Macaca fascicularis: one gene and its partners. The protein of the gene in region 6 binds, or shares a complex with, the protein of the main gene of each other region. Links are inferred from orthologs where the notes say so. Each region holds a gene or a part of one and is shown on either strand. Other genes may lie near its edges.

What was found.
Region 1: the proteins of BMP2 (region 6) and NOG are in contact, whole or in part, in a crystal structure (PDB 7AG0), measured with the Homo sapiens proteins. The link is inferred for Macaca fascicularis from reciprocal best matches to the Homo sapiens genes BMP2 and NOG. Residues at the interface, in NP_001191.1 of Homo sapiens: Trp310, Asp312, Trp313, Val315, Ala316, Pro317, Pro318, Gly319, Tyr320, Ala368, Ile369, Ser370, Met371, Leu372, Tyr373, Lys379, Val380, Val381, Leu382, Lys383, Asn384, Tyr385, Gln386, Met388; in NP_005441.1 of Homo sapiens: Ile33, Arg34, Pro35, Ala36, Pro37, Ser38, Asp39, Asn40, Pro42, Leu43, Val44, Asp45, Leu46, Ile47, His49, His199, Arg204, Arg206, Pro219, Ile220, Gln221, Tyr222, Pro223.
Region 2: the proteins of BMP2 (region 6) and HJV are in contact, whole or in part, in a crystal structure (PDB 4UI1), measured with the Homo sapiens proteins. The link is inferred for Macaca fascicularis from reciprocal best matches to the Homo sapiens genes BMP2 and HJV. Residues at the interface, in NP_001191.1 of Homo sapiens: Phe331, Pro332, Ala334, Asp335, Leu337, Asn341, Ile344, Val345, Leu348, Ser351, Val352; in NP_001366281.1 of Homo sapiens: Leu40, Asn43, Tyr46, Val47, Tyr86, Leu101, Ala102, Ser105, Ala106, His108, Gly109, Ile110, Asp112, Leu113.
Region 3: the proteins of BMP2 (region 6) and RGMA are in contact, whole or in part, in a crystal structure (PDB 4UHY), measured with the Homo sapiens proteins. The link is inferred for Macaca fascicularis from reciprocal best matches to the Homo sapiens genes BMP2 and RGMA. Residues at the interface, in NP_001191.1 of Homo sapiens: Val308, Gly309, Trp310, Asp312, Trp313, Met371, Tyr373, Leu374, Asp375, Glu376, Lys383, Tyr385, Met388; in NP_064596.2 of Homo sapiens: Arg91, Arg94, Gly95, Leu97, His100, Ser101, His104.
Region 4: the proteins of BMP2 (region 6) and BMPR1A are in contact, whole or in part, in a crystal structure (PDB 2QJ9), measured with the Homo sapiens proteins. The link is inferred for Macaca fascicularis from reciprocal best matches to the Homo sapiens genes BMP2 and BMPR1A. Residues at the interface, in NP_001191.1 of Homo sapiens: Lys297, Pro330, Phe331, Pro332, Leu333, Ala334, Asp335, His336, Ser339, Asn341, Ile344, Val345, Leu348, Asn350, Ser351, Val352, Asn353, Ser354; in NP_001393490.1 of Homo sapiens: His66, Cys67, Pro68, Asp69, Ile77, Thr78, Asn79, Phe83, Ile85, Cys100, Met101, Lys102, Glu104, Gly105, Phe108, Gln109, Asp112, Arg120, Ile122.
Region 5: the proteins of BMP2 (region 6) and RGMB are in contact, whole or in part, in a crystal structure (PDB 4UI2), measured with the Homo sapiens proteins. The link is inferred for Macaca fascicularis from reciprocal best matches to the Homo sapiens genes BMP2 and RGMB. Residues at the interface, in NP_001191.1 of Homo sapiens: Val308, Gly309, Trp310, Trp313, Met371, Tyr373, Leu374, Asp375, Glu376, Tyr385, Met388; in NP_001353437.1 of Homo sapiens: Lys97, Arg100, Gly101, Leu103, His106, Ser107, Leu110.

Annotation. Positions count from the first base shown.
Region 1 is NC_088390.1:50,134,129-50,138,869, reverse strand, and holds NOG (noggin), read left to right. Parts: upstream 1-1,471; 5' UTR 1,472-1,762; coding exon of another isoform or gene 1,763-2,434; 5' UTR 2,435-3,014; coding exon 3,015-3,713; 3' UTR 3,714-4,399; downstream 4,400-4,741. Other genes in the region: uncharacterized protein, read right to left, coding at 1,763-2,434. UniProt on the Homo sapiens protein: Inhibitor of bone morphogenetic proteins (BMP) signaling which is required for growth and patterning of the neural tube and somite. Essential for cartilage morphogenesis and joint formation.
Region 2 is NC_088375.1:113,394,316-113,399,092, reverse strand, and holds the start of HJV (hemojuvelin), read right to left. Parts: upstream 2,923-4,777; 5' UTR 2,765-2,922; intron 1,511-2,764; exon of another isoform or gene 1,493-1,510; 5' UTR 1,404-1,492; coding exon 1,307-1,403; intron 907-1,306; coding exon 344-906; intron 1-343. UniProt on the Homo sapiens protein: Acts as a bone morphogenetic protein (BMP) coreceptor. Through enhancement of BMP signaling regulates hepcidin (HAMP) expression and regulates iron homeostasis.
Region 3 is NC_088381.1:77,804,522-77,809,236, forward strand, and holds the start of RGMA (repulsive guidance molecule A), read right to left. Parts: upstream 3,159-4,715; 5' UTR 3,144-3,158; coding exon 3,120-3,143; intron 2,308-3,119; coding exon 2,109-2,307; intron 1,430-2,108; exon of another isoform or gene 1,385-1,429; coding exon of another isoform or gene 1,276-1,384; coding exon 761-1,275; intron 1-760.
Region 4 is NC_088383.1:59,723,413-59,727,461, forward strand, and holds part of BMPR1A (bone morphogenetic protein receptor type-1A), read right to left. Parts: intron 226-4,049; coding exon 33-225; intron 1-32. UniProt on the Homo sapiens protein: On ligand binding, forms a receptor complex consisting of two type II and two type I transmembrane serine/threonine kinases.
Region 5 is NC_088380.1:105,153,124-105,157,927, forward strand, and holds the start of RGMB (repulsive guidance molecule B), read left to right. Parts: upstream 1-1,605; 5' UTR 1,606-1,786; coding exon 1,787-1,795; intron 1,796-2,053; exon of another isoform or gene 2,054-2,451; intron 2,452-2,517; coding exon 2,518-2,620; intron 2,621-2,762; coding exon 2,763-2,838; intron 2,839-4,804. UniProt on the Homo sapiens protein: Member of the repulsive guidance molecule (RGM) family that contributes to the patterning of the developing nervous system. Acts as a bone morphogenetic protein (BMP) coreceptor that potentiates BMP signaling. Promotes neuronal adhesion.
Region 6 is NC_088384.1:80,544,464-80,548,964, forward strand, and holds the start of BMP2 (bone morphogenetic protein 2), read right to left. Parts: upstream 3,243-4,501; 5' UTR 2,058-3,242; intron 819-2,057; 5' UTR 812-818; coding exon 466-811; intron 1-465. UniProt on the Homo sapiens protein: Growth factor of the TGF-beta superfamily that plays essential roles in many developmental processes, including cardiogenesis, neurogenesis, and osteogenesis. Induces cartilage and bone formation.

The DNA of each region.
Region 1 (4,741 bases), on a different chromosome or scaffold from region 6:
GCTGAATCCTCATAAAGCACATAAAAAAGAAAGAAGTATGCTTAGGCGCCTACTATGTGCCAGCTTCTTTTTTTTTTTTTTTTTTTTTTGGCGGGGAGGGGCGGTCAGGGAGGTAGGACAGAGTCTCACTCTGTTATTCAGGCTGGAATACAGTGGTGCAATCTCAACTCACTGCAACCTTTGCCTCCTAGGTTCAGGTGATTCTCGTGCCTCAGCCTCCCGAGTAGCTGGGATTACAGGAGCCTGCCACCATGCCCAGCTAATTTTTTTTTTTTTTTTTTTTTTTTTGTATTTTTAGTACAGACAGGGTTTCACGATGTTGGGCAGGCTGGTCTCGAACTCCTGACCTCAACTGATTCGCCTGCCTTGGTCTCCCAAAGTGCTGGTGTTACAGGCATAAGCCAAGGCCCCTCGCCTGTACCAGGTCCTAATCACACATTATTTCTAAGTCAGCCCAATTCAAACCACCAATGGGTTGTTGTTATCTCCAGTATCCATCAAAGCAAGATCTACTTTTGAGCAGTCCCTTGATAGTCTAATTCTAGTTGTCTAGACTTTAAAATCGAGGGAAATGCTTTCAGCTGAAACTGCCTACCCCTTTTTATAGAGGTTTTGCAGAAAGACTGTAGTATGCAACAAAGTGCTTTCTTCCTTAGATGATAAACTTTGGGAGTTGGGGTGGGGCAGGTTTAAAGGAAAAATCAGATCTTTGGGGAAAGAAAGTTGAGCGATTTAGGTTGTCACAATGGGACCTCTTAACTCCCACTCTGTGGAAGACTGGCAAATACTTGAGTCATCCACTCCAAGTGTCTCTTCTCCAGCTTTTTCCAGATTCCAATCACATTCACCACAAAGAAAACCGAGTTTGCATTTTAAAGCTTAGATTGAGTTCCTCGTCCAAGGGGAAATTAACCGGAGGTGTCACTTCAGTACCCATCTCCCATCAAAGAGAAACTGCTTCTGAAAGAGAAAGCATCATGGAGGTTTATTTAAAATCACAGAAAGGTGGGGCGGAAGAGAAACCTATCAATAGTTAAGTCACTAATGCGAAAAGTGAGGAAACTGACTTGTCCAAGTTATATCAGGGTGGACCCCAGGCAAGACTCAGGTGCCTCTGCTGTCAGCTCACCTTTCAAGTTTCTAGTCCCCACTCGCACCCACTGAGACCAGAGAGACCAATTTACCTGAGGCAGAAGGTGCTGCACGCATTCTTGTCAAATTTGAAGGGACTGAGGAGGTATCTCAGTAAGTTTGTTTGCACTGGGGGCCTGGAGAGCTTCGGGAAAATAGCCAGAACCAAAACGGACCCGTCAGCAGACGCAGACACACACAAAGTGACACGGACACAGAAACAGAAGCTGAGCTGGGCAGAGCGGGCAGCGGCCGACCCACCTCGCACGGCCGCCCCCCGCCAGCGCCAGGTGCAGGGCTCGCAGCGGCCCAGCAGAGGGCGCGCCGCCCCCAGGGAGCCGAGCGGCGGCCGTGCGGAGCCGGGAGGACTAGGGGAGCCGCAGGCGAGCCAGACGCGCCCCTGAGGCTAGGCCACTCAGGGTGCAGGACCCGGCCAAGGAAGAGGAAGATGGTGAGGAGCGGACCCCCCTGGTGGGCCCGAAGGACAGACAGGCAGGAGTGCTTCCTAAGAATTACATCACGCTGCGCAACGTTGCGGTTCTCGGACTCCCTGGTGCAAAGAGGGGTGGGGTAGGGGCTGTGTGTGTGTGTGTGTGTGTGTGTGTGTGTGTGTGCGCTGGGGGGAGGGGACTTAGATCAAGAGCCCGGGAGAGAAGAAGGCGAGACGCGCCCGGGGAAAACGCTCCATGCACATGGAGAAATTTCTGGCTCCAATCTGCATGCACCGAGAAACGAGCCCCCAGCACTTCCCCGTTGCTCCCCTCCCAGTGCAAAGCACCCAGCTAGTGAGAAACCCTCCAGCCCCCACCTCGAGCACCGCCCCCCCAACACCGGCTCTGCACCCTCCAGCCCGGCTCCAGCGCCGCCGCGAGCTTTCCCCAGGACTGGCCCTGGCGGGGCGCCTAGAGCCCCAGTTGCATTGCTCCAGGAGAAAGGAGGGGGGCGGTGCATTTTGCAGGAGGAGGAGAAGGGGGGTGGGTGGTGGGGGAGAGAGAAAATTGCGCGGAGACCTGCCAAGCGCCACCGCCGCCACCACCGCCGCTGCCGCCGCCGCCGCCGCCGCCGCCGCCTGTGAGCTCCGGCGGGCAGCCGGACTGTCGGCTTCCCGGGGCATCTGGGTCCGGCGGGGCACAGCCCTGGGCGCTGCCGAAGCCGCCGCCGCCGCCTCCGCGGCGAGTACAGGCGGCTTCCCCCGGAGCCTCTGCAGCTCCAGCTCCTCGGGGGTGGAGAAGTGGGGGGTGGGGTTGTTGTTTGGGGGGAAGAAGGGGGAGGGGGCAACGCCGAGAGAGTCAGTGGTTTCCATGGTGATGGAGCTGAAAGTGCAGGAAATTTAAAGGCTTGGACCCTGCGAGACAGACAAACCGGTGCCAACGTGCGCGGACGCCGCCGCCGCCGCCGCCGCTGGAGTCCGCCGGGCAGAGCCGGCCGCGGAGCCCGGAGCAGGCGGAGGGAAGTGCCCCTAGGACCAGCTCAGCCAGCGGCGCTTGCACAGAGCGGCAGGACGAAGAGCAGAGAGAGGAGGAGGGGAGAGCGGCTCGTCCACGCGCCCTGCGCCGCCGCCGGCCCGGGAAGGCAGCGAGGAGCCGGCGCCTCCTGCGCCCCGCGGTCGCCCTGGAGTAATTTCGGATGCCCCGCCGCGGCCGCCTTCCCTAGTAGACCCGGGAGAGGAGTTGCGGCCAACTTGTGTGCCTTTCTTCCGCTCCGGTGGGAGCCGGCGCTGCGCGAAGGGCTCTCCCGGCGGCTCATGCTGCCGGCCCTGCGCCTGCCCAGCCTCTGGTGAGCCGCCTCCGGAGAGACGGGGGAGCGCGGCGGCGCCGCGGGCTCGGCGTGCTCTCCTCCGGGGACGCGGGACGAAGCAGCAGCCCCGGGCGCGCGCCGGAGGCATGGAGCGCTGCCCCAGCCTAGGGGTCACCCTCTACGCCCTGGTGGTGGTCCTGGGGCTGCGGGCGACACCGGCCGGCGGCCAGCACTATCTCCACATCCGCCCGGCGCCCAGCGACAACCTGCCCCTGGTGGACCTCATCGAACACCCAGACCCTATCTTTGACCCCAAGGAGAAGGATCTGAACGAGACGCTGCTGCGCTCGCTGCTCGGGGGCCACTACGACCCGGGCTTCATGGCCACCTCGCCCCCCGAGGACCGGCCCGGCGGGGGCGGGGGTGCGGCTGGGGGCGCGGAGGACCTGGCGGAGCTGGACCAGCTGCTGCGGCAGCGGCCGTCGGGGGCCATGCCGAGTGAGATCAAAGGGCTAGAGTTCTCCGAGGGCTTGGCCCAGGGCAAGAAGCAGCGCCTGAGCAAGAAGCTGCGGAGGAAGTTACAGATGTGGCTGTGGTCGCAGACGTTCTGCCCCGTGCTGTACGCGTGGAACGACCTGGGCAGCCGCTTTTGGCCGCGCTACGTGAAGGTGGGCAGCTGCTTCAGTAAGCGCTCGTGCTCCGTGCCCGAGGGCATGGTGTGCAAGCCGTCCAAGTCCGTGCACCTCACGGTGCTGCGGTGGCGCTGTCAGCGGCGCGGGGGCCAGCGCTGCGGCTGGATTCCCATCCAGTACCCCATCATTTCCGAGTGCAAGTGCTCGTGCTAGAACTCGGGGGCCCCCTGCCCGCACCCGGACACTTGATCGATCCCCACCGACGCCCCCTGCACCGCCTTCAACCAGTTCCACCACCCTCTAGCGAGGGTTTTCAATGAACTTTTTTTTTTTTTTTTTTTTTTTTTGAGCTACAGAGACCTAGCTTTCTGGTTCATGTAATGCACTGTTTAACTGTGTAGGAATGTATATGTGTGTGTATATACGGTCCCAGTTTTAATTTACTTATTAAAAGGTCAGTATTATACGTTAAAAGTTACCGGCTTCTACTGTATTTTTAAAAAAAAAAGTAAGCAAAAGGAAAAAAAAAGAACAGAGAAAAGAGAGACTTATTCTGGTTGTTGCTAATAATGTTAACCTGCTATTTATATTCCAGTGCCCTTCGCATGGCGAAGCAGGGGGGAAAAGTTATTTTTTTCTTAAAGTACAAAGAGACGGGGGAACTTTTGTAGAGGACTTTTTAAAAGCTATTTTCCATTCTTCGGAAAGTGTTTTGGTTTTCCTTGGACCTCGAAGAAGCTATAGAGTTCAATGTTATTTTACAGTTATTGTAAATATAGAGAACAAATGGAATGACTAATCATTGTAAATTAAGAGTATCTGCTATTTATTCTTTATAATATCCCGTGTAGTAAATGAGAAAGAAGTGCAGAGCAGGATTAAAGAAAACCACTAAAACCGACTGGGCTCCACACTGATTTTCTGTGTTGGTGATTGATGGGGGGTGGGAGGGCGTGGGAGGGGGCGGGTAGGGGATGCTGCTGTGCCTCCTACCCGGTTGGGGAAGGGGCTCATCCCCTCGGACTCACCTCCTGTGGTATGATAGAGATGACTTAGTGTTTTGAGGGCGGGGGGTGGCGATATTCTCTAACCCCTCACTAAAACATCACGTGGCCTCCGCCTAGTCTCCTAGCTTTTCCCCCTGTGTCACCAAAGCTCGGGCCTGTAGTGACCTCGACACCCAGCCGGCCCCCTGGAGCTGACCCCAGGCTGGGGCGAGGGGCGGGGGGAGGGTGGGCGGC
Region 2 (4,777 bases), on a different chromosome or scaffold from region 6:
TTCTCCTATTTACCTTCCAGTATTACCTCATCCCTACTTAACCCCTCTCTCTACTTAACCTTGGCAACTTCCTAGGAGAGGGAAAAGTTTCCCTTCTGAAACTCCTCAGGTCTGCTCTCTTCAATGTCTCTTCAGTGTTTTCTGCATTTGAGTGAAATTCCCATCAAGGGGAAGTGATTTACAGCTCCAACTGTTTGGTAGAAGGGAGTGATTCAAGATGAGGGAGAGGTTGAGGAAGAAAAGGGAATTAGGGAGCACTGCTGTTGACTAGTGGCGATGGGGGGGAATGGTGCCCGTGGAAGAATCTGATGAGGTAGATCGGAAGGAAGATTGAGTGCCTGACCTTCCGGGTAGCGGTAGCGTTGGCCCCCAACGCCATGGGGGAGCTGGTGGCTTGGACAAAGAGGAAGTCGTTATCCAGTAGAGGCCAAGCTCCTTGGACACGGCATGTGTGAAAATGGTGGTGGAAGCTGCGCACATGGGGGTCCCCGAAGGAAGCGCAATGCAAGAACCCCGGGGGACGACCATGCAGCCGGGAAAACCGGCCTTCATAGTCACAAGGGTCCGGGGCAGGGAGGCCGGAGCCTGCGCCTGGAAGGGCGGGGCCCCGGGGCGGGGGAGGGGCTGTAGGGCCCTGGCGCGAGCAGTTGTGCTGGATCATCAGGTCTTCGATGCCATGTACCGCCGAATGGAAGGCGAGGTCCCCACGGCAGGTGCGGGCGGTGCGCCGAGTGCAGAGCGCATAGGAGCGGAGGGCTCGACAGAGGCCGCCAGAGCCCACCCCTCCACCCCGGCCTCCTCCTCCTCCTCCTCCTCGAAGTGCTCCTGATGAACCGCCACCTCTAAGGCTCAGAGTGGACGATACATACTCAGCATTGCAGCGGAGGATCTTGCATTGAGAATGAGCTAAAGACAGAAGGGAGAGGATTGTGAGACGGTCCTCAGACCCCTGCTCTATCGGAGTGTAGTTTGCTCATAACTCTTCCAAATCTCATCAGGGGATTCCAGTCTTCCTAAAACCTAACTAAGGGCCTTCCCCAGCCCCCAACCCCCTTGTCCCTAGTTCTCTCGGCTGTCTTACTAAAAATGTGTAAGCCCACCACATCTCTTCTGCCTGTCGACCAAGGGCTTCCCCAGTGGCCTTCCCCAAACTGAACGGGCAATAAAATATTCCTGTTTGAGAGCAGGGCGAGTGACCGGGACTCTCAGCGCACATCTCTCCTCACTCATTCAGGCTCACGTGCCCACCCTTACATAGCAGCCTACCCTCTAGATTTCCCCAAACCCTTCCCTGGCCCTTCCTTACCATGTCCACAGAGGAGCAGCAGGAGAGTGAGAGTGCTTAGAGTTGGGGGACTGCCATGGGAGGACCTGGGACTAGGGGACTGGCCTTGCTCCCCCATACCTATCCAGCCAGGTTCCCCAGGCGCCGGTTCTTCCCAGCTGATGACCCTCCTACCTAGTGAATTTTGACCGGAAGCCCTGTAAGTGACTGAAAAAAGAAATTTGGCTGGACATGGAGAGAGAGAGAAGAGTTGAAGATTGGTCAGGATAATGTGAAGCGAATCTGGGGAGATCAAGAAAAGGATGAGCAGATTGGAATTTGGGGAGATTGGGGCTCCTCAAACTGTAAGTGTGGCAGTGAAGTCTCTTTGCCCTGTGCCTGTGGCCACTTTTAGGGCCCTTGTGCAATACCCCTAGGTGGGGGTGGAGGGAAGGTTGAATGAACTCAAGGGGCCAGAGTCCACTATATTGCTCCATCCTGAGCTACCAAACAGCAGATATGTCAAAGATGGAGGAATCATGGGGATAGATCAGATACCAGTAATCCTAGTGGGTACCCTAATAAAATTAGGACCTGAAAATATTTCAGAAACATACTTCTTACTTGTCCCTCTCCATTAGGAGGAGATGCCTTCTAGGAGTCATACATTTCTTTGCCTCCTTTGTGTCAGAAGAACACAAGAAGGAGTAAGGGTGGCATACCCATCCCCTCTAGAACATCAGTATTCAAACGAAAAGGGAACTGATCTCTTTTCATCAGCTCTAGCGAGCTGCAATTTTAATCTCCCCCTCTCATGGAATAATGGGATGCAAACCAAACATGCAAATCAATATTTGTTTTTTCTAAGTCAACAGTTCTTGTATTTTCCCAAATTTCACTGAAGAACCACTTTCCATTAATCTCTCCCTTTCAAATTCTGAAGTTCTCAGTTTTTTTAATGAGGACAGGAGTTGGGGAGGGGCTAAATTCCTCCTGCCTAACTCCCCTGTCTTATGGGTAAGGATATGATTGGGAGAAGAGTCCTGTGAGAGGGAGAATAGAATGGAGGGACTAGAGTTGTGGGGAGAAATAATTTAAAGGAGCAGCCCCCACCCTTGGAATCTCAATGTGAAGAGCATTGCTAAGTGGGGGCAGGATAGAAGGGTGTCTGAGGTCTGAGAGGTCATATTTGGCCTTGGTAAGAAAACTACGGAATAGCGGACGTAGGGAATTCCTTCTAAAACTTCATCAGAAGTCTTGAGGTAATAAGGTAAAGAGAGGGCTAAGACTGCCAGAGGAGAGACGGAGAATTAAACTTCAAATAACTAGAGGCCAGAGGCCAGAAAGAAGACAGAAAGAGAAATGGAGATTGGGGCACCTTGGTAGGGAGAGATCACAGCATTTGGACGAGAGACATCCAAGTAGGTGTTTGTAATTTTATAAAAGTCTAACTTCAATATAAAAGCTTATTAAAGGAATTGCAATTTCATTTTGACTTACTGTTTCCAGAGGTCAAACATTACTCTGCTATCCAATTCTCCAGCCATGATTCCCTACTCTGTGGGTCAGCTCCAGCCAGGGGGTCCTCCGTCTCTTTCTCCATGTCTCCCCCAGGTCCCCAGGCCGGCTGCTGTCTCACTGAGGTCAGGGAGCCAGAGAAGGTTTGGTGTAGGGGGAAGGGGGAAGTATATGGCTGGCCAGAGTACTGGACAGCTGAGCAGGGAGGGAGGTGGCTACTGAGTTGACGGTTTTAAAAATAGCTGAGTCCAAAATTCCAGGAACGTTGGTGGGGGTAGGGTGTGGGAGTTGGGGGAGTGGGGAGGGTTGGAGGATTAGAAAGAATATGGAGTATTGGGTGCCAAGTCAGGGAGGGAGGAGAGAAATATGACAGACAAGTCGAATATCCAGTTCCAGCTTGTGTGACTCTGGTCACTGCCTACTCCAGGCAGCCCTCCAGCATTTTTAGTAACGACGAACTCCTGGCCTTTAAAAATTATAGTGGGCAGTTGGATACCTTTCATTTACCATCTTCATCCCTGCTATGCTGAATATTACATTTAGGTACTACAGATAGTGTCTAGGAGGTAGCTGACTTTAAATAAGATCCATAGCAGAAGTAGTTCACAGCCCCTCCCCTATCTTTGCAGAGTATTTCAGAAGAACGAAAAAAGCCAGCTGTCCAGAGAAGAAATCTGAGCTATGAGTTGCTTAGGATGAGGGTTTGTTCAGTCTATCCAGCTCAGATCCTTGCAGCTGTCTATCCTCCTACCTACTCCATTTTCATTACTTTGGTTTGTACAGCAATTCCTCTTCCTCTCCCTCAATACACAAAAAATAAAGGCTCCTGAGTTGCTTAGAGAGAAGGTTAACAAAGGCAAAGAGGTGAAGAAAGAATGGGAATAGAATTTTTCGAAAGAAAGAAAGACTTGGAGAAATAGAAAAAGATTCAAAGAGATACATTTTTCCTTCCTTCCTTCCTTCCTTCCTTCCTTCCTTCCTTCCTTCCTTCCTTCTTTCCTTCCCTCCCTCCCTCCCCTCCCTCTCTCCCTCCCTCCCTGCCTTCCTCCCTCCTTCCCTCCCTCTTTTCTTTTCTTTTCTCTTTCTTTCGATGAGGTCTTACTATGTTGACCAGGCTGGTCTTGAACTTCTGGCCTCAATCAGTCCTTCCATCTCAGCCTCTCAGAGTGCTGGGATTACAAGTATGAACCACCATGCCTAGCCTCAGACAGATACTTTTGTGGAATAACATAATCTTGTGACTAAAAATATTGCAAAATCTCAGCACTTTGGGAGCTGAGGCAGGAGGGTCACTTGAGCCCAGGAGTTTGAGGCTGAAGTGAGCTGTGATAGCACCATTGCATTCCAGCCTGGGCAACAGAGTGAGACCCGCCCCCCATCCCCCTTAAAAAAGAAAAGAGATAGGCTGGGCGCAGTGGCTCATGCCTGTAATCCCAGCGCTTTGGGAGGCCGAGGCGAGCGGATCACGAGGTCAGGAGATCGAGACCATCCTGGCTAACACGGTGAAGCCCCGTCTCTACCAAAAATACAAAAAATTAGCTGGGCGTGGTGGCAGATGCCTGTAGTCCCAGCTACTCTGGAGGCTGAGGCAGGAGAATGGCATGAACCCGGGAGGTGGAGCTTGCAGTGAGCCGAGATCGTGCCACTGCACTCCAGCCTGGGCAACAAGCGAGACTCCATCTCAACAAATAAAAATAAAAAATAAAAAAAAGAGATATTGCAACCAAGGGATTTAGCCATGTCATGTTTTTGCAGCCATAGGCGTATCTGAGATCATCATCTTTTAGTACTTGCCAAGTGAAATTAACACAAGGACCAATTCCAAATAGGGTCACTGTATTAGGGTTCTCTAGAGGGACAGCACTAATAGGATATATATCTATATCTATATAGAGATCTATATCTATATCCGTATCAATCTAGCCATCTAGACTGGTCATCACCAGTCTCCTTTCTGTCTCTCTAGATTTGTTAATATCTATATAGACATAGATA
Region 3 (4,715 bases), on a different chromosome or scaffold from region 6:
ACCCTTGTGGTAAGTCTGGCACTGCCCAACACATGGCCTTCCAACTGGCTCTTCCTAGGAAAACAGACCCACTGCCGCTTCGCCAAGCTGGAAACCCCAGGGGGCACTGGTAGGCCGGGCACTGGGGAGGGTGGACGTGTCCCCATCACCTGAACTGGGAGCCACCAGCTTCCTTCCTGGCCTCGAGGCCTTGCCCTCTGGCTAAGTCTGAATATGAGGTCACAGGACATCCTCCCCAAAAGCGGGTAGGGGAGGGAGAGCCTGGGGTAGACAGCAGTGTCCACTTGCATGGGCCCATGGCCGTGTGTGTGGCTGCCTCTGGCTGTGGCCCCATGAGCAGGACCTGAGTCCTGCTGCCCACATGCTAAGGCCTCCTTGGGTTGGAAAACCAGCAGCCTTCAGTGGCCTCGTGGGGCCGCTGAGAACATGCCAGGTTCTGGAATCACCTGGGCCTGGGGCAAATTCTAGCTCAGCATCCCAGCTGACTATGCACTTGGAGTGGGAAGGTCACTTGGCCTCCTAGAGCGTCAGGCTCCCCATTTGTGAAATGGAGCTATGCCAGCCAGGCTGGGCTGGCTCAGGGAAGGAGGGAGGAAGCTGAGATCCACCCCTTGGGATGCTCAGGGAGAGTGCTCCCGTGTCCCCACTCTGCTCCATCTTCCCCCATTTCCAGGCACCCGAGGCCCTCTCAGCCTCTCAGTGTCCACACAGGGCAGAAAAAGGGCAGGGCTGTGCCCTACAGCCGCCCCCTCCCCCTTACCTTGCTGGTGGCAGTGGCCGCTGAGCCGGGCAGCACAGGTGTGTTGGTGACCTGCACGTTCAGGTAATTATTGTCGATGAGCGGCCAGGCGCCCTGCACCTTGCAGGTCTGGAAGCGGTCTGTGAAAGTCCTGAGGTGCGGGTCCCCGAAGAGGCCACAGTGCGTGTAGTTGGGGGTGGCTGAATGCTTGTGAAAGCTCTTCTCATAATGGCAGATCTCGGGGCTGTCCGAGCGCTCCTGGCTGTCTCCGGCTGGTGGGAGCGTGTGCAGGCGTGGCTGCGAGGTGGGGCCATCCTTGGAGCAGTTGTGCTGGCTCATGAGGTCCTCTATGCCATGGACGGCCGAGTGGTAGGCCAGGTCACCCCGGCAGGTGCGGGCCGTCCGCCGTGTGCACAGGGCGTAGCTGCGCAAGGCTGCACAGAACTCGGGGGTGTCGTCCGAGGCTGGGGCGTGGCTGCCAGACGTGGCGCTCCAGAACTCAGAGTTGCACTTGAGGATCTTGCACGGGGAGGTGGCTGAGGAGAAAGGAATGAACAGCCTGTCTGGGTGCAGTCTGGCAACTCCAGCCTCTGCTACCATCTGTGGGGCAGGGGAGCAGCCACACGTCGCAGGAGGACATCTCATCTAGGGCAGAGCCACCCACGCCACACACAGATGGTGAAAAACTTCCTGCAAGTGGTAAGAAAAGGGGTCCTTTTACCCAGCCTATAGTGACCCCAAGCGGACAGGCAGGCTGAAAGGGAAGTGGTCACTGTTTGAGGGTAGCAGGACTTTGGAAGCTGACAGGCCACCCCGGGGCCTTTGACATTTATATACACTTTCATGGCCATCCCCAAGAATTTTGGCTAAAGCAACAGGAATCTGGCAGGGAATTTAGCCCCACTATTAAATATGTGTCCCTAGTCCTGGTACTGTATGACCTTATATAAATGACCTCCTGTCTTTGTGCCTTGTTATACTTATCTGGAAGATGGGATAATGTGTGTGAAGTGATTTATCATATATAAAGGACTTAGTCTGGCCCCAGCATTCATAGCCAAAACTCAATGAATGTTGCCTGGTATGAGTGCTCCATTAGCCCCCTGGCCATAGAGGAGCTGGCTTCCCTCAGGCTCACCGTAGCCCCCATCCTTCTCTGTCCTGCTCGGAGAAGCAAGCTGAGAAGCAACCGAGAGTAGTAACCTTGGATCCCTCACAAGCTTTGAGACTTTAGTGACAATTAGCCAAAATGACCATGCCCCAGAACTATGGCTTTAACACACCTAATCTTCTCAACACATAGAACCTGCCTTTTTCTGGCCTTCCTCTGCACAGCCCATAGTGACCACAAGTGGCTAGGCACACACACCTGCAGCAGAAGTTTCTACATGGATTCCAGGAGAAAGGGGCCAGCAGACCAGCTGGGAGATCCAGCCTCTGGCGTCACAGCCCAGTGCTGGCCGGGGTGGTCTCCAGGGGGGAAAGGGAGCCTCAGCACTCCTGTCTAGGCCACTAACTTGGCCTGTGACCTTAGAAAAGTCAGTTTGTTTCTCCGGTGCTGGTTTTACCTATAAAATTGAGTTGCACATAAAACCAAAAACAGACATATTTGAGGGCAGGCTAACGCAAGCACAAGTACCCACCTATCCCAGCACCTTGTGTGAACCCAGTCTGCGCTGTGCAGCCCTGGACCTGGGTGATCTCTCCCGCCTCTGCAGGTGGGTGGGCACCATTCTACTGGAGCATAAGTCACCTTCCCAGGTCACAGACCTGAGCATGGGGGAAGTCAGTGCTCATCTGAAATTTGGGCTCTCCCCCTCATGTGACCTGTGTTTGCCATACTGCCAGTAACAAGGTAATTTCGGGAGATACCTAAGTGAACACTTTGTCTTTTAATTTGAGAAGTCATACCTTTATTTAAATGTGCATTAAGAAAAAAAATTGCTGGGTATGGTGGCTCATGCCTGTAATCCCAGCACTTTTTGGGAGGCCAAGGCAGGCAGATCATGTGAGGTCAGGAGTTCGAGACCAGCCTGGCCAACACGGCAAAACCCCATCTCTACCAAAAATACAAAAATTAGCTGAGCCTGGTGACATGCGTCTGTAATCCCAGCTACTCAGGAGGCTGAGGCACGAGAACTGCTTGAACCCGGGAGGCAGAGGTTGCAGTGAGCTGAGATGGTGCCACTGTACCCCAGCCTGGGAGACAGAGCAAGACTCCATCTCAAAAAAAAAAAAATTGATGTAAGAGCTACAGATTTTCCATTTTATTAGCTTTATTTAAATTAAAGTATGCTGACTTAAAGGGTCAGGTTAGGTAAATGACAGTCAGGTGGTACCTGCTTGATATGGTTTGGCTGTGTCCCCACCCAAATCTCACCTTGAATTGTAGTAATCTCCACATGTCAAGGGTGGGGCCAGGTAGAGATAACTGAATCAGGAGGCCATTTCCCCCATACTGTTCTGGTGGTAGTGAATAAGTCTCACAAGATCTGATGGTTTTACAAATGGGAGTTCCCCTGCACGTGCTCTCTTGCCTGCCGCCATGTAAGATGTGCCTTTGCTTCTCCTTTGCCTTCTGCCATGATTGTGAGGCCTCCCCAGCCATGTGGAACTGTGAGTCCATTAAACCTCTTTCCTTTATAAATTACCCAGTCTTGGGTATGTCTTTATCAGCAGTGTGAGAACAGACTAATACACCACTATAAAGGGGTGCTATGGCAGATACGTGGGGAGCATTGGTGAGATCCCCCCATGTAGTCTTCCTCCCACACAGGTGTGCTGCTGAGGACAGGTCTCCCTCCCAAGGCAATGAGAAGATTCTCTTGCTCTGTTGTCTTCACGTCTCCTTTACCTGTACAAGATGTGGAAGGGCCCAACCTACCTGCAGGCTTTGAAATGTTGGTGTGGTCTGTGTGGGACAAGGTAGCTTCCTTGCTGCCCCCTGATAAAGCCAGTACAGGAGGTGAGTGGGGTGGGGTGTATGCGGAGGGAGTACTATGCAGAACAAGCGTTTGGAGGGACCCAGCGCACAGGAACTGACTGGTGCAGCGGCCTGCACACAATGCCTGTCCCGGCAACCTCATTAATTCCAGGAGCCGGGTGTGCTGACCTGACATTCTGCCTCCTCAGAATCATGCAGATGTGGGCATCAGAGAAAATCAAGCGGAAGGAACACTGGTCTCCTGTTAACCGATGGCCACGCTCAGGCTCCGGTTTACCTCTGGCCCTTACTGTGATCAAAGTAGAAAAAGGACACTGCCTGTCCCTTTAGAGCAGGCCCCACTGCAACACAAGCAGGAGCTGTGCTGTGCTCTGACTCTCCACCAGGACGGAATCTGGTAGAACCTTGGAGAGCAGGGACTGTGAAGTCCCAGCTGGCTGGCTATGTCCCAGGTCCAGCGCTGCAGGCAGTACAGGCCTCCCCCATTGCATCTTCCCGGTGCGACTGCCATCCCCAGCTCAGGGGAAAGCTGGGCTCTGCTGGGCTGACTTCTTGCCCAAGTCTCACTTCGAGGAAGTGAGCCAGGGCAGGACATGAATCCAGCCACTGGACCCGTGAGCTCATGCCCCTGCAGCCACACATCATCACATAGCCTCATTAGCACACTCCCGATTCCCTCCACCACGGGTGGGCTCCAGCCTCTCCTGCAAGACCCATCTTATGACACTGGGCTCCCACCAGCCTCCTGGCAGGGTCAGGCCGGCGCCCAGGTGTGGCTCTACACTCCAAATGGACAACCCCGCAGGCTCCTGAATTTTAAGTGGACTGGATTTGTGATCGGGATCTGCTATCTCCACAGCCTTCAAAACCGTTCTCAGAGCAGCACCCCTGTTACAGAACTCTGGGGTGTGTGGGGAATTCATGACAGAAATCCTACCCAGGTACTCCGGAAAGGGGTCCCTCACATGCTCCAGGGCTGTGGAGTGGGATCTGGTAGCCCCAGATGAGGCTGTGCTGGGTGGCCTGGCGGGC
Region 4 (4,049 bases), on a different chromosome or scaffold from region 6:
ACATGAAATTGACTGAATCAGTGTGTACCCACCAAGTATGTTTTCATGGCGCATTAGCACAGTTTGGTAGATTTCTGTTTCTCGAAACCAGCTGGCTTCTTCAGTGGTAAAGAATACTTTCACCGCCACTTTTTCGCCACGCCATTTACCCATCCATACTTCTCCATATCGGCCTTTACCAACTTGCCGGACCATCTGAATCTGTTTGGCAATAGTTCGCTGAACCTTTATAGAAAAAAGTAAAAGGTTTGAGCTCTTGATGAAAGAAACCCATTAAGACTGGCAAAGGGATAGTCCATCTCATCAAAAAGCATGGTATACCCAACCAGTTCGAGTTAAAAACTTATAATGTACTTTTTTTTTTTTTTGGATGGAATCTCGCTCTATCACCCAGGCTGGAGTGCAGTGGCCTGATCTCGGCTCACTGCAACCTTCACCTTCTAGTTTCAAGTGATTCTCCTGCCTCAGCCTCCCAAGTAGCTGGAATGACAGGCACCCACCACCACATCCAGCTAATTTTTTTGTATTTTTAGTAAAGATGGGGTTTAGCCATGTTAACCAGGCTGGTCTTGAACTCCTGACCTCAGGTGATCCGCCCACCTTGGCCTCCCAAAATGCTGGGATTACAGGTGTGAGCCACCATGCTCAGCCATAATGTACTTTAAAGTATGAAACAATTTACAATGTATTCTGAAATTATAAACAGATTATTCAGTGTGGCTAATGGCAAAAATGGTCATAATAATTCCCCTCCCAGTGCACACAGCCATGGGTACTCCTGGCCCGCAGACTCAGGGCTTAGGCCATATGACCTGCTTTGGATAAAAGAACAACAGCGAACGTGATGCAAGCAAAGACCTGACAAATGTTTGTGGACTGGGGCTTGCCCTTTCCTGCTGCTTTGGTAACCCTGTGAACAACAAATAATGGCAGCATGAACGGTTGGCCATGCGTGTGAACTATACTACCTAGCTCTAGCTGAGCAAGTCCAACAAATGAACTGCCCCGCAGACTCACAGAATGAGAAATAATCTTTGTGCTTCACGGCACTAAGTTTTTGGGATGGTTTATTATGCAGCAAAGTCCAAATGACAGTTAAAGATCTTAAAAATCCCATCTATAAGACCCTGCAAGATCTGGCTTGACCCCATTATTCGCTGTGACCACCCAGCCACAAACCTCCTGTTTGATTTATGTCAACTTTTAGAATTCACTCAAGCTTATTCCTGTCTCTGGGTCTTTTTGAATGTCCAGTTCCCTTTACTTAGAGTGCTATTTTCTCACTTAAACACCTTCATAGCACACAAAACCTCTCAGTTGCTGCACTTCACACAATCATAACTTTATTCTTATTTACGTATATATTTGCTTGAAATCCATCCCCTGCTCACAGAATACAGGTATCTATTTGGGACAATATCAGAAGAACTTTCATATTTGTTAAATAAAAGATGTATATGGATTGTTATCTTTCATTTTCAGAAGCGTTAGTGATCATTCTACATTAAAAAGAACATTGTGTTCCAAGTTGGAAATGCTTCTAAAATGAACTAGATTTAGTGCAAAGTTAAAGTGACTTTATGTATCATTTATTACAGAATCCTTTTGTAAATTTTGTTGTTTTTTTTGAGACAGAGTCTCACTCTGTTGCCCAGGCTGGAGTGCAGCAGCCAATCTCAGCTCACTGCAACCTCTGCCTCCCCAGTTCAAGCGATTTCCTGCCTCAGCCTCCCGAGTAGCTGGGATTACAGGCATCTGCCACCACGTCCAGCTAATTTTTGTATTTTTAGTAGAGATGGGGTTTCAACATGTTAGCCAGACTGGTTTCGAACTCCTGACCTCAAGTGATCTGCCTGCCTCAGCCTGTAAGTTTTTAAGTCAAGATTTTATAATTTACATAAAATGTACCCTTTTTGAGAAAAGTACAACAAGCCTTTGACAAATCTATATCATGTAATCACCAATACCACAATTAAAATACAGAACGTTTGGCCGGGCGCGGTGGCTCAAGCCTGTAATCCCAGCACTTTGGGAAGCCGAGACGGGCGGATCACGAGGTCAGGAGATCGAGACCATCCTGGCTAACACGGTGAAACCCCGTTTCTACTAAAAAATACAAAAAAACTAGCCGGGCGAGGTGGCGGGTGCCTGTAGTCCCAGCTACTCGGGAGGCTGAGGCAGGAGAATGGCGTGAACCCGGGAGGCGAAGCTTGCAGTGAGCTGAGATCCGGCCACTGCACTCCAGCCTGGGTTAGAAAGCGAGACTCCGTCTCAAAAAAAAAAAAAAAAAAAAAATTCAGAACATTTTAATCACGTAAAAAAATTTTCACTTTTTGGCTGGGCGTGGTGGCTCATGCCTGTAATCCCAGCACTTTGGGAGGCCGAGGCGGGGGGATCACCTGAAGTCAGGAGTTCAAGACCAGCCTGGCCAACATGGTGAAACCCCGCCTCTACTAAAAAAAAAATACAAAAATTAGCTGGGTGTGGTGGCGCATGCCTTAATCCCAACTACTTGGGAGGCTGAGGCAGGAGTGTAGCCTTTTGTGTCTGACTTCCTTCATGTAGCATAAAATACTTCTGAAATTCACCCACTGTTACTGCTACAGGTGTTAGAAGTTGTTCCTTTTTACTGATGAGTAGTATTCCACTGTATGAATGTACCACCATTTGTTTATTCATTTACCAATTAATGAGCTTTGGGGTTGTTTCCAGTTTATGTCTATTATAAATAAAACTGCTATCAACATTCACATTCAGGCCTCTGGTGTGGACAAATTTTCATACCTCTTGGGTAAATAATTAGCAGAAGGATTGCTTCATTGTACAGAAAGTATACCCTTAACTTTCCAGACAATTGTCAAACTGTTTTTCAAAATAGCTATACCATTTTGCATTCCAATCAGCAATGTATGAGATTTCTAGTTGATCTACATCTTTGTCACCACTTAATATTGTCAGTCTTAGCTATACTAGTGGATGTGTAGTAGTATCTTACTGCGTTTAATTTGTATATCCCTGTTGATGCTGACATCTTTTCATGTGCTTGTGTGCCATTCTTTTATCTTCTTTGGGGAAGTGTCTGTTCAAATCTTCTGGCCATTTTTAAAAAAAATTAGGTTGTCTTATTGAGTTGCAAAAGTTCTTATATATTTTGCACAAACACCCTGTATCAGACCTGTTTTGCCAATCTGTGACTTGTCTTCTCATTTTCTTAACATTGTCTTCTAAATAGCAGAAGGTTTAAATTTTGATAAAGCCTGATTTATCATTAAAAAAAATGATTTGTGCTTTTTATGTACTGAGAAGTCTGCCCAAGGTCACAATAATTCCTTTGGACATTTTCTTTTAGAGGTTTTATACTTCAACTTTTACATTTAGGACTATGCTACATTTCAAGTTAATTTTGTATACAGAGTGAGGAGGTAAGGGCTGAGATTAACTTTTTGGTAAATGGATTCCCGATTTTTCCTGCACCATCTGTTAAATGGATTGCCTTTTTCCAACTGAATTACTTGGGCACCTTTTTTTTTTTTTAAATCAATTAACCATATTAAGTGCATGTTCCTTTCTAAACTCCATAATCTGTTCCATTCATCGATACATCTATCCTTACACCAGTACCAAATTGTGATCATTATCGAGCTTTACAGTAAATCCAGAAATCAGGTAGTAATTCCTCTTTGTTCTTCTACTTCAAAATTGTTTTGGCTCTTCTAGTCCTTTGCATTTCCATATAAGTGTTAGAATATACATCAATTTCTATAAAAATTTGCTCTGATTTTCATTTGGATTCAAATGAAATTACACACCAATTTGAGGAAAACTGAAATCTTAATACTGAGTCCTCAGATTTATAAACATCTCCACTTATTTAGGGCTTTATTAATTTCTTTCAGCAATGTTTTATAATTTTCAGTGTGCAGGTCTTGCATAAATTGTTAGGCTTATTCTAAATATTTCATGGTTTTTGATGCTATTTTAAATACTGTTTTTATAATTTCTTAATTGTTTGTTGCTAGTGCATATAAATTCAATGATATTTGTACAAT
Region 5 (4,804 bases), on a different chromosome or scaffold from region 6:
TGTGCTTTGCTGACTGCTGGAGTGGCTTTTCAAAAGCAAAACAAGTGGGGACATTAAAATTCCTTGCTTTTGTGAACCAGGAGCTGAGTTGGGTGTTTTTTCTTCTTCTTTTTAAATTCTCAGATGCAAAAGAGTGTGTTTCAATGTGTCTTACATTTACCTTTAAACGATCTTAGTATTTTTTTTTTTCAATTTGACTCTCACTTAGAAAAGATAAAGCAAGGTGAAAAAATACTAAGAAGGAACCTGCAGAGGTTTGGAGGAAGGGCGTTCATTGTCATCGCATTTAAGAAAGAGAAAAATATGTAAATTTTACTAATTATTGCCTCTTACACATCCTTTCTTGATAGTGACCCCAAGGTCCAAAGACGTTAAATCTGTTGCCTAAGACTCAGACCCAGAAAGTCAGAACTAGACCTTCCTCTGTGGATTCCCACTCGCCCTCTTTACACTGCCCTATGCTGCCTCTAGCGTTAGCCGGAGAAACTATAAGGAGGGGTTGGGGGAGGAGAAGGCAAAGAAAAGCTGGAGAGGGTCGTAGATTCTTGCCTAAGGAGGCAAGAAGTGACCTCCCTGAGTCAAGGTACTTGAGCATTTGACTTGACTAAGAGAAGCAGCTCGCTAGTTCCAGGAGTTGAACGCGCCGATTAGCTGCCGCTGAGTATCTATAATTTTTTTGTTTGCTTGTTTGTTTTTCTACTTTGGAAGATCAATGTAAGGTATAAAGTTAATCGCTTTCTTCTCGCCCTCCACGCCTTCCACGCTGACCGAAGCGACCGTCCTGCCTCGAACGTTTCGTGGGCTCATTCTTTGTAACACTTGCTCTGGGCCTTAGGTGTCTCTTTAAACCCTCTCTCCCCTCTTTATTTCCAAATCTTTATCATTGACTTTCTTAAGCTGTAAAGACACACTGGCACCTTAGGTGGTCAGGGAAGATCGCTGGATTCCTTATTTCGGCGAAAGTCCAGAGGACCATTCCCGCCACTGTCCCCATTTTAGAAACACTTGGAAGACCCTTAAGGATCATTTACGGAGAGAAAGGGGAGCATTCTGCTGCTGCCGGCGGGCAGCTAGAGAACGTGGCGGGGGGCAGCGCATCTGGCGCCTTGGCCGAGGCGCAGGGTGGGAACAGCCCGCACGCGTCCGCTGCCGCCCTGCCTGGCGACGAGTGGCAAAATCGCCCACCAGGAATCGGCTGGTGCCGCGGGTGGGCGAAGGCACGGCCGCCGGCCCGGAGGGCAGCGCGGAGGGTGGCGCTGGCGGCGTGAAAGGCGTCTTTGTGCAAGACTGAGTGTGGTGGGGGGAAGGCGAAGAGAGAACTGAGCCCGGACCTGGACGCGGGGGTCTAGGGCGCCCCTATGCCCCTAGCCGTCCGCTGTGCCGGAATGAGCCGGGTAGCGCCGGAAGGGGGCAGTGTGGCGACAGAGGAGTTGCCGGGAGGAGGGGGTTCTCTGTTCACCTCTATTTGAGGCTGGACTGGGGGAAAAGCTGCCTGGAGGAAGCTGCTGGGGTGCGGGGGACTGAGCGATTTGGCTCCCCGCCCTCTCCCCTAGGTGGCGGAGAAATCGGGCTAGCTGGAAGGGCGCAGCTCCTCTCCGAGAGCTCATTCCGGAATCGGAGAGCTGGGAAAGCGGCCCCCGAGGCGGAGCCTCCCTCCCGCCCGGAGTCCCGCTACCCCCAACCTGGGGGAGAGGGGCGGGCGCCGCGCTGCCTTCCCTCCGCGCCTCGGCCGCGTGGCTTGCGGCTTATTTTCCCAGCTGGCAAGCGTCGCGCTGCAGACAAGGGAATGCCTGTGGTGAGTTGTTTATTTTGTTGAAGTTTGCGGTGGGCCCAGGGGACGTGGGGGGCGAGCGGCAGGCAGCGGCCGGGACTGTTTTGTTTAGGTCTCCATCCACCTGTGTGGTATAAATCTGCCAGCCTCAAGGCGGCGGGGGACCGGAGTGAGAAAGCGCTCCCAAAAGCCCCTTTTCGCCACTTACAGATATAGGACCACATTTGATTCTCCACGCCTGGAACCGGCTAGATCCTAATTTACTCTCACCCCGCCCTCCAGCCTCCCATCAACGCTTCCCGCACCCGCTGTGTGCAGGGCTGGCGCTCCGCAGAGCAAACAGCGCCCGCGACCCAGGGACAGCTGGCCACCGAAATCCCTCCCCGGCTCTCTTCCCCGTTCCTTGAGGACAGGGGAGCTGAGGTTTTGATGTGAAGGGCGCCCATGAAATTCGTGGGAACTTGTTCTGGCGTCTTCTGGAGTGGAGTTCTTTCAGGGGTGTCGGGTCTGCCCGGGACTACAAAATGGGATCCTGGGTTGGCTGGAGTCTCCCAGACTAGGCTGGAGAGAGGTCGGCTGTTGGCTCGCGGGAGAGCCCAGAGGAACCCCTTGAGCTGATGGCAGTCAAGACCGGCGGCTGCGTTTGCCTGGAAGAAAAGCCTAAATACATTAGCGAGCCGGTAAAGCTTTTAAGGCCTTCTTGGGAACGAGTGGCTGGCTAATGAGAGGTTAATTTTGTTTCGAAGGGAAGGCTGCACTGGTTTCCTGAGATAAATGGACAGGAAGCGCATTACCTCCGCGCCCTGGCAAGCGGCTCCCAAATGCTTTTTGCACCTGCCGTTTTGAGCGGTGAGAGCAGCGGCGGAGCCCGCAGGGATTGCGGGGGCCCGTTGTCTACGAGCGGGTGATGAGCCCTTCGCAAGCCCCGGGCTGTCTCCCTCCGGGAGTGCATTGCTCACACCAAGCTCTGGGACTCTTCTCTCACACTCAGGTCCTGCGTGTTCCGAAGTTCGGGGGCCCCCTGATCCCGCTGAGCCCCCTCCAGGAGCGGAAGGGTTAAGAATGATGTAAGTACAGGGACTTGGTTTCTCAAGTCGCCCGCTTGGCCCTCTTCCAAGTTGTACTTTCCTTATTTTCTCTCCTTTCCTTTCCTTGCTGTTCTAACGCTTTTTAATAAACTTTTACTCCTGCTATGAAAAAAAAAAATGATGTAAGTACAAACCACAGGCTGCTTGACGCTGAGCTGTCGGACTCTGAGCCATTTCAGCCGCTGCTTTGGGTACACAGTGGCCGGGGAGCAGCCGGGGAGCCCTTACTCTAGGATGGATTGCACAAATCGCAAACCTAGATGATCTGTTAAGCAGTCAGAGATTCTCCTGTTAGATTTCTGGAAATGGAGACATATTAACTGGAGAACAGTTAAAAACATCACGTATAGGTTCAGGAAATGAAACCGCATCTTGTTTAGAATCCATTAGTGTTTCTGACATGTGTTTTAATTCTGTGCACTTGCACGTTCATACCGTGGTATGCTTTGCTGGATTCTCTGGATGTACTGTTCAGGTCTCCTCCTTCCTTCCTGAAAACAAAGAGGAAGGGAGAAAGAGTACCAGTGGCAAGAAACAGGGTGGATGTGTGAGTTGCACCACTCATCAGTCACTTCATGATTTTTTTCTGATTAAAACATAAAACTTTTATAAGTCACCGATTTTATGTTTGTTTTCTACCTCCCTCCCCGATTTTTCTTTGTAGAATCTAAAATCCTTTGTAACTTGCAGCTCACGGGGTCGAGGAGTGGCTGCGCTATAAGTGACTATTCACTACACTCTTGCTTGCCAAGCTGATTCCTGCTCTTGCGAACAGTACGAATTTACCCGCGAGTGTGTCAACTGACCTATGTCTTGAAAATAGGAACCACCTTGCGGTTTAATTGTGAAAATTAGCATTTTCCTTTAGCGGGTGAACACTTATGCAGCAATAGAAAGTGAATTGTTAGGCTTATAAATCTCGAGCTTGTCAAATTTTACAACAGAGGAGCAATAAAGCGCCTTAGAGATGAAGTTTTTCCTCTGAAGAACAGTTCGGTTTAACGACACCAGGGTATACAATGACTCGAGGACGCCCTCTATTGATAGGAAAATCTGGAGCACCCGTGTACTTAAGGAACAGGATATGGGGGGAGGGGAGTAAAAACATGAGAAAGTCACGAGTGGAAAGACCCAAACCAAACAGAAATTATTGATCCTTAACTATTGAGTATATGTTTTGAAGTATGATCAATAAAGTGAAGTGTTTCTTGTATAGGGGTCGAATTAAATCTTGGATTAAGAGAAAAAAAATTTTAGTCCTTGTTAGCCAAATACTTTGAAAATCAGTATTTGATTACTTAAGATGCTTCTTAGTATGTCATGAACTGTACCTCATTAGTTATATGAAGTAATTGCAAGATAGTAAATTTTTGCTCTAATAATATTTAATCCACAGCATTATCTAAAAATGTCATATACCTTCCTCCCCAAAAGTCATTTCTCCAGGCAACTGTGAAGCTATTATTAAGCATATTATGGATATACACAGGCTTGGATTATATCGTGGGTAGTGAAAGGTGTGTTTACCCCGTAAGTCATCATAGTATGTAATAAGTAACTAATGAAAAGTTACAGTAAAAACAGATAGGCATCCTTCGTTAGGGACATAGTGGTTTGGGCAATTCACAATGTGTCTATAATGAGTGAGCTGGTGAGACCGAAGGTTTGCCCCTCAATTATCTTAGTCCATTGATTAGCACATTTAAACATGTGTGGAATATCAGCATGTCCGTGGTTGATACGAAATTCCTAATTAGAGATTCTGAGTAATGTAGCGTGTAGAGTTGCCAACTACGATTTGGATGTTAGTGGATTTTAAATGGCGGTCCTGTGCTGTTTGGGGAAAGGCAAAGGCAAGGGCAGTATCAAGTGTCTCTCAGCCTTGAGGTCATTCTTGAGATTAGATACCACTTCACACCTACTGATAACAAATTGGAATCTATCA
Region 6 (4,501 bases):
ACTATCTCTGAAAACTCTGCCCTTGGCTCTGTCTACCCTGAAACCCTGGCTTAAGCAGCAGATTTATAGAGCAAAAGCTTCCAAACAGACTTAAAGAAATCTTAATCTGCCTCCCTTTTCCTCCTTTTCCCTCTGTGGAATTCTTGCACGTTTAGCTGACTAGGGGCATGCCTTTTGCCCTCATCTTCCCCATCACTTGATTTCTCTCCAATCCTTCCGGGAGGAGTAGCTCTTCTGGCTGCAAGCCAGGAAGAGGGTGCGGAGTTACTAAAGGGGAATCCCTGGCTCCACCACCACACAAGCAGTGAGTTAAAATCAGATTCAGAAACCATAGTACAGAAGCAAGAGTGGAAACGTCCGCTGGCGCCCTGGCTAAGCTGCCTCTATAGGGATGGCTGCAGTCTGCCCACGGTGGAGGGCTTTGCAGGGTGACTCCCCGCCCCCACGCCCTGCTCCATGCCTCACCTTCATGGTGGAAGCTGCGCACAGTGTTGGCTCGGCTGGCTGCCCTCTCCAACCGGTGGTCTGGGGCAGGTGAGCCCGGCTGACCCGAGTGCCTGCGATACAGGTCTAGCATGTAGGGGGGCACCACGGCGTCCCTGCTGGGGGTGGGTCTCTGTTTCAGGCCGAACATGCTGAGCAGCCGCAACTCGAACTCGCTCAGGACCTCGTCAGAGGGCTGGGATGAGGGGCGGCCCGACGACGACGCCGCGAACTTCCTGCGGCCCAGCTCCGGAACGAGGCCAGCCGCGCCGCCCAGGAGGACCTGGGGAAGCAGCAACGCTAGAAGACAGCGGGTCCCGGCCACCATGGTCGACCTGCGGACAGGACCGACGTGAGTCACCCGAGCTCCCCGCCCAGTCCTCCCCCCTCGCGCCCCCGCGGCCCGGGCTCCCATTTGGCTGGCGTGCCTCCTCCAGGTTGCCCTCCTGGCTTGGCACACTCGCGAGTCTAGGTAAGACCGACCGAAGCTCAAATGTTTGGGATAATGAAGGGCCCCAAGTTCCAGAACCAGGTGATTTATCGCTCCCATCCAACTCTTAACTTGTCTAACATCAGATTTGGGGTTTGCCCTCCCCTCCCAACCAAACCAGCGCCAATGACTGTCACTTTTTTGTGTGTAACACAGCGCTGACTGCCAATGCTGGGAACCTGGGAGAACCACCGCTTGGTCTGACACCCTGCGTCCCCTATACAAACCCAAATGCAGAGCGCTGAGCGCTCTCTGGCATATAAACACACACAAATGGTGCATGTGACTTCCTTAGAGGCACTGTATAGAACTTCCTGACACACACACACACACCCCTATAACTTCCAGACCCTGTAAGCTCAAGGCCACAACTTCTGAAGCCACTTACAACTTGTGTCCCACGCCCCTACACTCAGGGGTGTCTGGAGAGGCAACTCCATCCCGCATCCCCGTAGTACGGTCAAGATACTCATGTATCTTCCTGGGATTACATACATGGTGAATATCTATTAATGCACGTGTCAGCTGTTAAAAACACAGCACCAAGTGATTCTTCAGTACTGACCCCTCGCATTTCTGGAAACAAGAAGGGAGAGCCCCAACTCCTAGTACTTTTCTCAATGGGATAGGGCTCTGAGTAAAGAAACCAAGTCTCCCAGAAACACTAGAAGAAGGGAGATCGCCATGGCAGGGTGGACAGGTTCTCAGCTAACGGGTGAAACCCAGGGGCTACCCTCTCAAAGGGATTTCTTTGACTCAAAAAAAAAATAAATAAATAAATAAATAAAATAAATAATTTAAAAATAAATAAATAAACAAAACACCTCATCTAAGTGTTAACAGCTCCAAAAGTATTCCGGGGAGAGGGTAAGAAAGAGGGGTGGAAGAGTGCGGGCCGGGAGGGTGAGGCTGATGGTCGCCCGGGACAGCTGGAAGGGGGCACCCCGCAGGGCTCCGTTGCACGTGGACTGGAAAGGGGTCTGTTTACTTCTGGCCTGGACGTAAGGAAGGGCTCTGCCGCAGTGGCTGCCCAAATCCCCCTCCCACCTACCACCTACCCCGGCCCCTGGCCCGCGTCCTCTACCTTTAGGAGACCGCAGTCCGTCTAAGAAGCACGCGGAGACACGTCCATTGAAAGAGCGTCCACATGGAAAAACTCTGGTCAAAGGACCTGGCGCAAGGACCGAATGTCCGTTCCTTTTCTTTGCCTCCTCCTTCTCCCGGGTGCCGGCCGCGCAGTCTCTTTTCACGCTGGGAACAGCGTCTCAGTCTCGGGCAAGGCCGAGGAGTGGAGGGGCGGTGGGGCTCGGAGGTGGCGAGGCAGGCTCCGCTGGGGCAAAGGCACGGGCGCAAAGTGGGGAGCTCAAGTTATTCTCCCTGCAAGTTCAAGAAGTCCCCAGCCAAGTGCTGACACACAACAACAGCGAGCAGGGGGAGGAGTGCGGGGCAGGGAAAGGAAGGGAGAAAGGAGAAGCTGGTGCTGTCGTCCTCCTTAGGAACCAGCGCCCGAGGGACGCGTGGCCCCGCGCGGGGCCGGCTCCAGGACTCAGGGAGCGAGGGTCGGGCGCTCTGCGCTAGCTCCGCCGCGGCCCATGGCTCGGGGCAGCCATCCTGGGCGACGCCGGGTCCGGGGAAGGGCACGGCGGCGATTTCGGTGCCAGGCGAGTTGCCCCCCCGCATCACTCTGCCTTACTCCAGTGCACCCCCATTCGCGCTCGCCAGTTGAAAGCACCGCGGCTCTGGCGCCCCGTCGTCCTCGGGCGCATTCTCCGGCGAGTCGAGCCAAGTCCCGGGCCGCCGAGGCGGGTGGTTGTGCTCTCTCCTCTCTCTCCTAACCCTGGGGCCAAATGCCCTTTGTGACTAGCCTGGGGTCCGATCACACCTCGGCCGGCGCTTCCCAGGCCCCCGATCTCCTGCAGTAGGTGCCCCGCATCGCGGCGCTAGGGATCGGCTCCGGAGTCGCCGGCGCTCTGCGCGCCCGTCCGCGACTCTGGCGCAGCCGGGGCAGCAGAGGCCACGGCGCTGTGGCGCGCTCTGCCGGGTGCTCCAGCCCGCGCGGGGTCTGCGGCGCGCGGATGCCTCGCGGTCCCCGGTGATCCGCGCGGCGCTGGCCCCGAGAACGTTCGGGTCGCCGGCGGAGGCTGTGGCGGCAGATGTGCGGCGGAGGCTGCCAGTCCCCGGCAGGGTGTGGGAAGCGGAGCGACTAGCGCAGCGCGAGCCCGGCGCAGCGCGGCGGGGCGAGGACTCCGGCGGCGACGGCGGCGGCGGCGCCGTGGCGCGGCGCTCGCGGCTTTTAAAGGGGACGCCGCCTGCCGGCTCCCTCCCGGCCGCGGCCGAACACCTCCCCCTTCGCGGCGCGGCTCGCCGGGGATCCCCGAGCGGGCGGGAGCTGCGCGCAGGGGTGTGGACGGCGCGCCCGGGCAGCCGCGGCGGGGTGGGGCGGAGGGCGGGGGCGCGCGGCCGCCAAGGGGGGCGCTCGCGCCTCCACTCCCTGTCCTCAAAGGAGAGATCAGCTGGCGCGCCGGACCCTCGCGGGGACTCCGGAGGCGAAATCCAGGACAAATGCAGGGTCAGGGTCTGGCTTCTATTTCCCCTCTGGGCCCGTTATTCAACTTTCAGTTTGGAGTTTTTCGATAATATACAATTTCAAAAAACAAAACAAAACAAACACCTCAATTACAGCGCATTTTGGCATAGCATAGACGTCGGATTCACGCTTCTGTTTCCCCGGAATAGGAGGAAAATTAAAAGAAAACAGGAGGCTGGAAATTGAGTGTTTTTAAACATTAATACAAAGAGATGTATGTATTTACATATGTAAATGCATGTGTACAAATTTCCTTTTACATAAATATGTGTGTGCATTTATTTTCATATCCATATGCATGTTACAGTTATATAAATATATCCAATATACAAAAATATGTACATATATTTCTATATATTCATATATGAGAACATATGCAACCGAAGGTAAACATTTCGGTAAATATATGTCTACGTGTGTGACATGGATGTCATCCTGCTTTACGTGACATGTGTGTAACGTAGACTGTGTGTGTGGCAGCCTGAGGGATGGATGGGAGGGATTTGATTTCTTTTCATGGTACAACCACTTTGTGCCTTGTGATGTTTATCTCACCCAGCTCAGAGGCAGGCGATTAACAGCTCAGAGGAAGGTAAAATAACGCACTGTGTGAACCAAGCATACAGGACAATTTCAGTTTGGGACCTTGGAACCTTCTACTCCACCCTCTTCCATCAGGCCCCCAAGAAGTAGGGCTGTGACACGTGGCCAAGTCACTCCTCAGCTGAATATTCGCTCAAGTCACTCCTCAGCCGAAACATTCCTCAGAGCTGCTGCACGATGAGTCTGGGGCCAAGGCTTTCTGGCCTTCCCAGGATTCCAGGAGCCCCCATGCACAGCACCTCGGGCTTGCCCAAATGATTCCCGAAATCAAGGGCAGAACATTTTTGGAAGAGGCCACGGTCTACTTTCCCAGAGCTATCGGGCCTGCAAACCAGAGA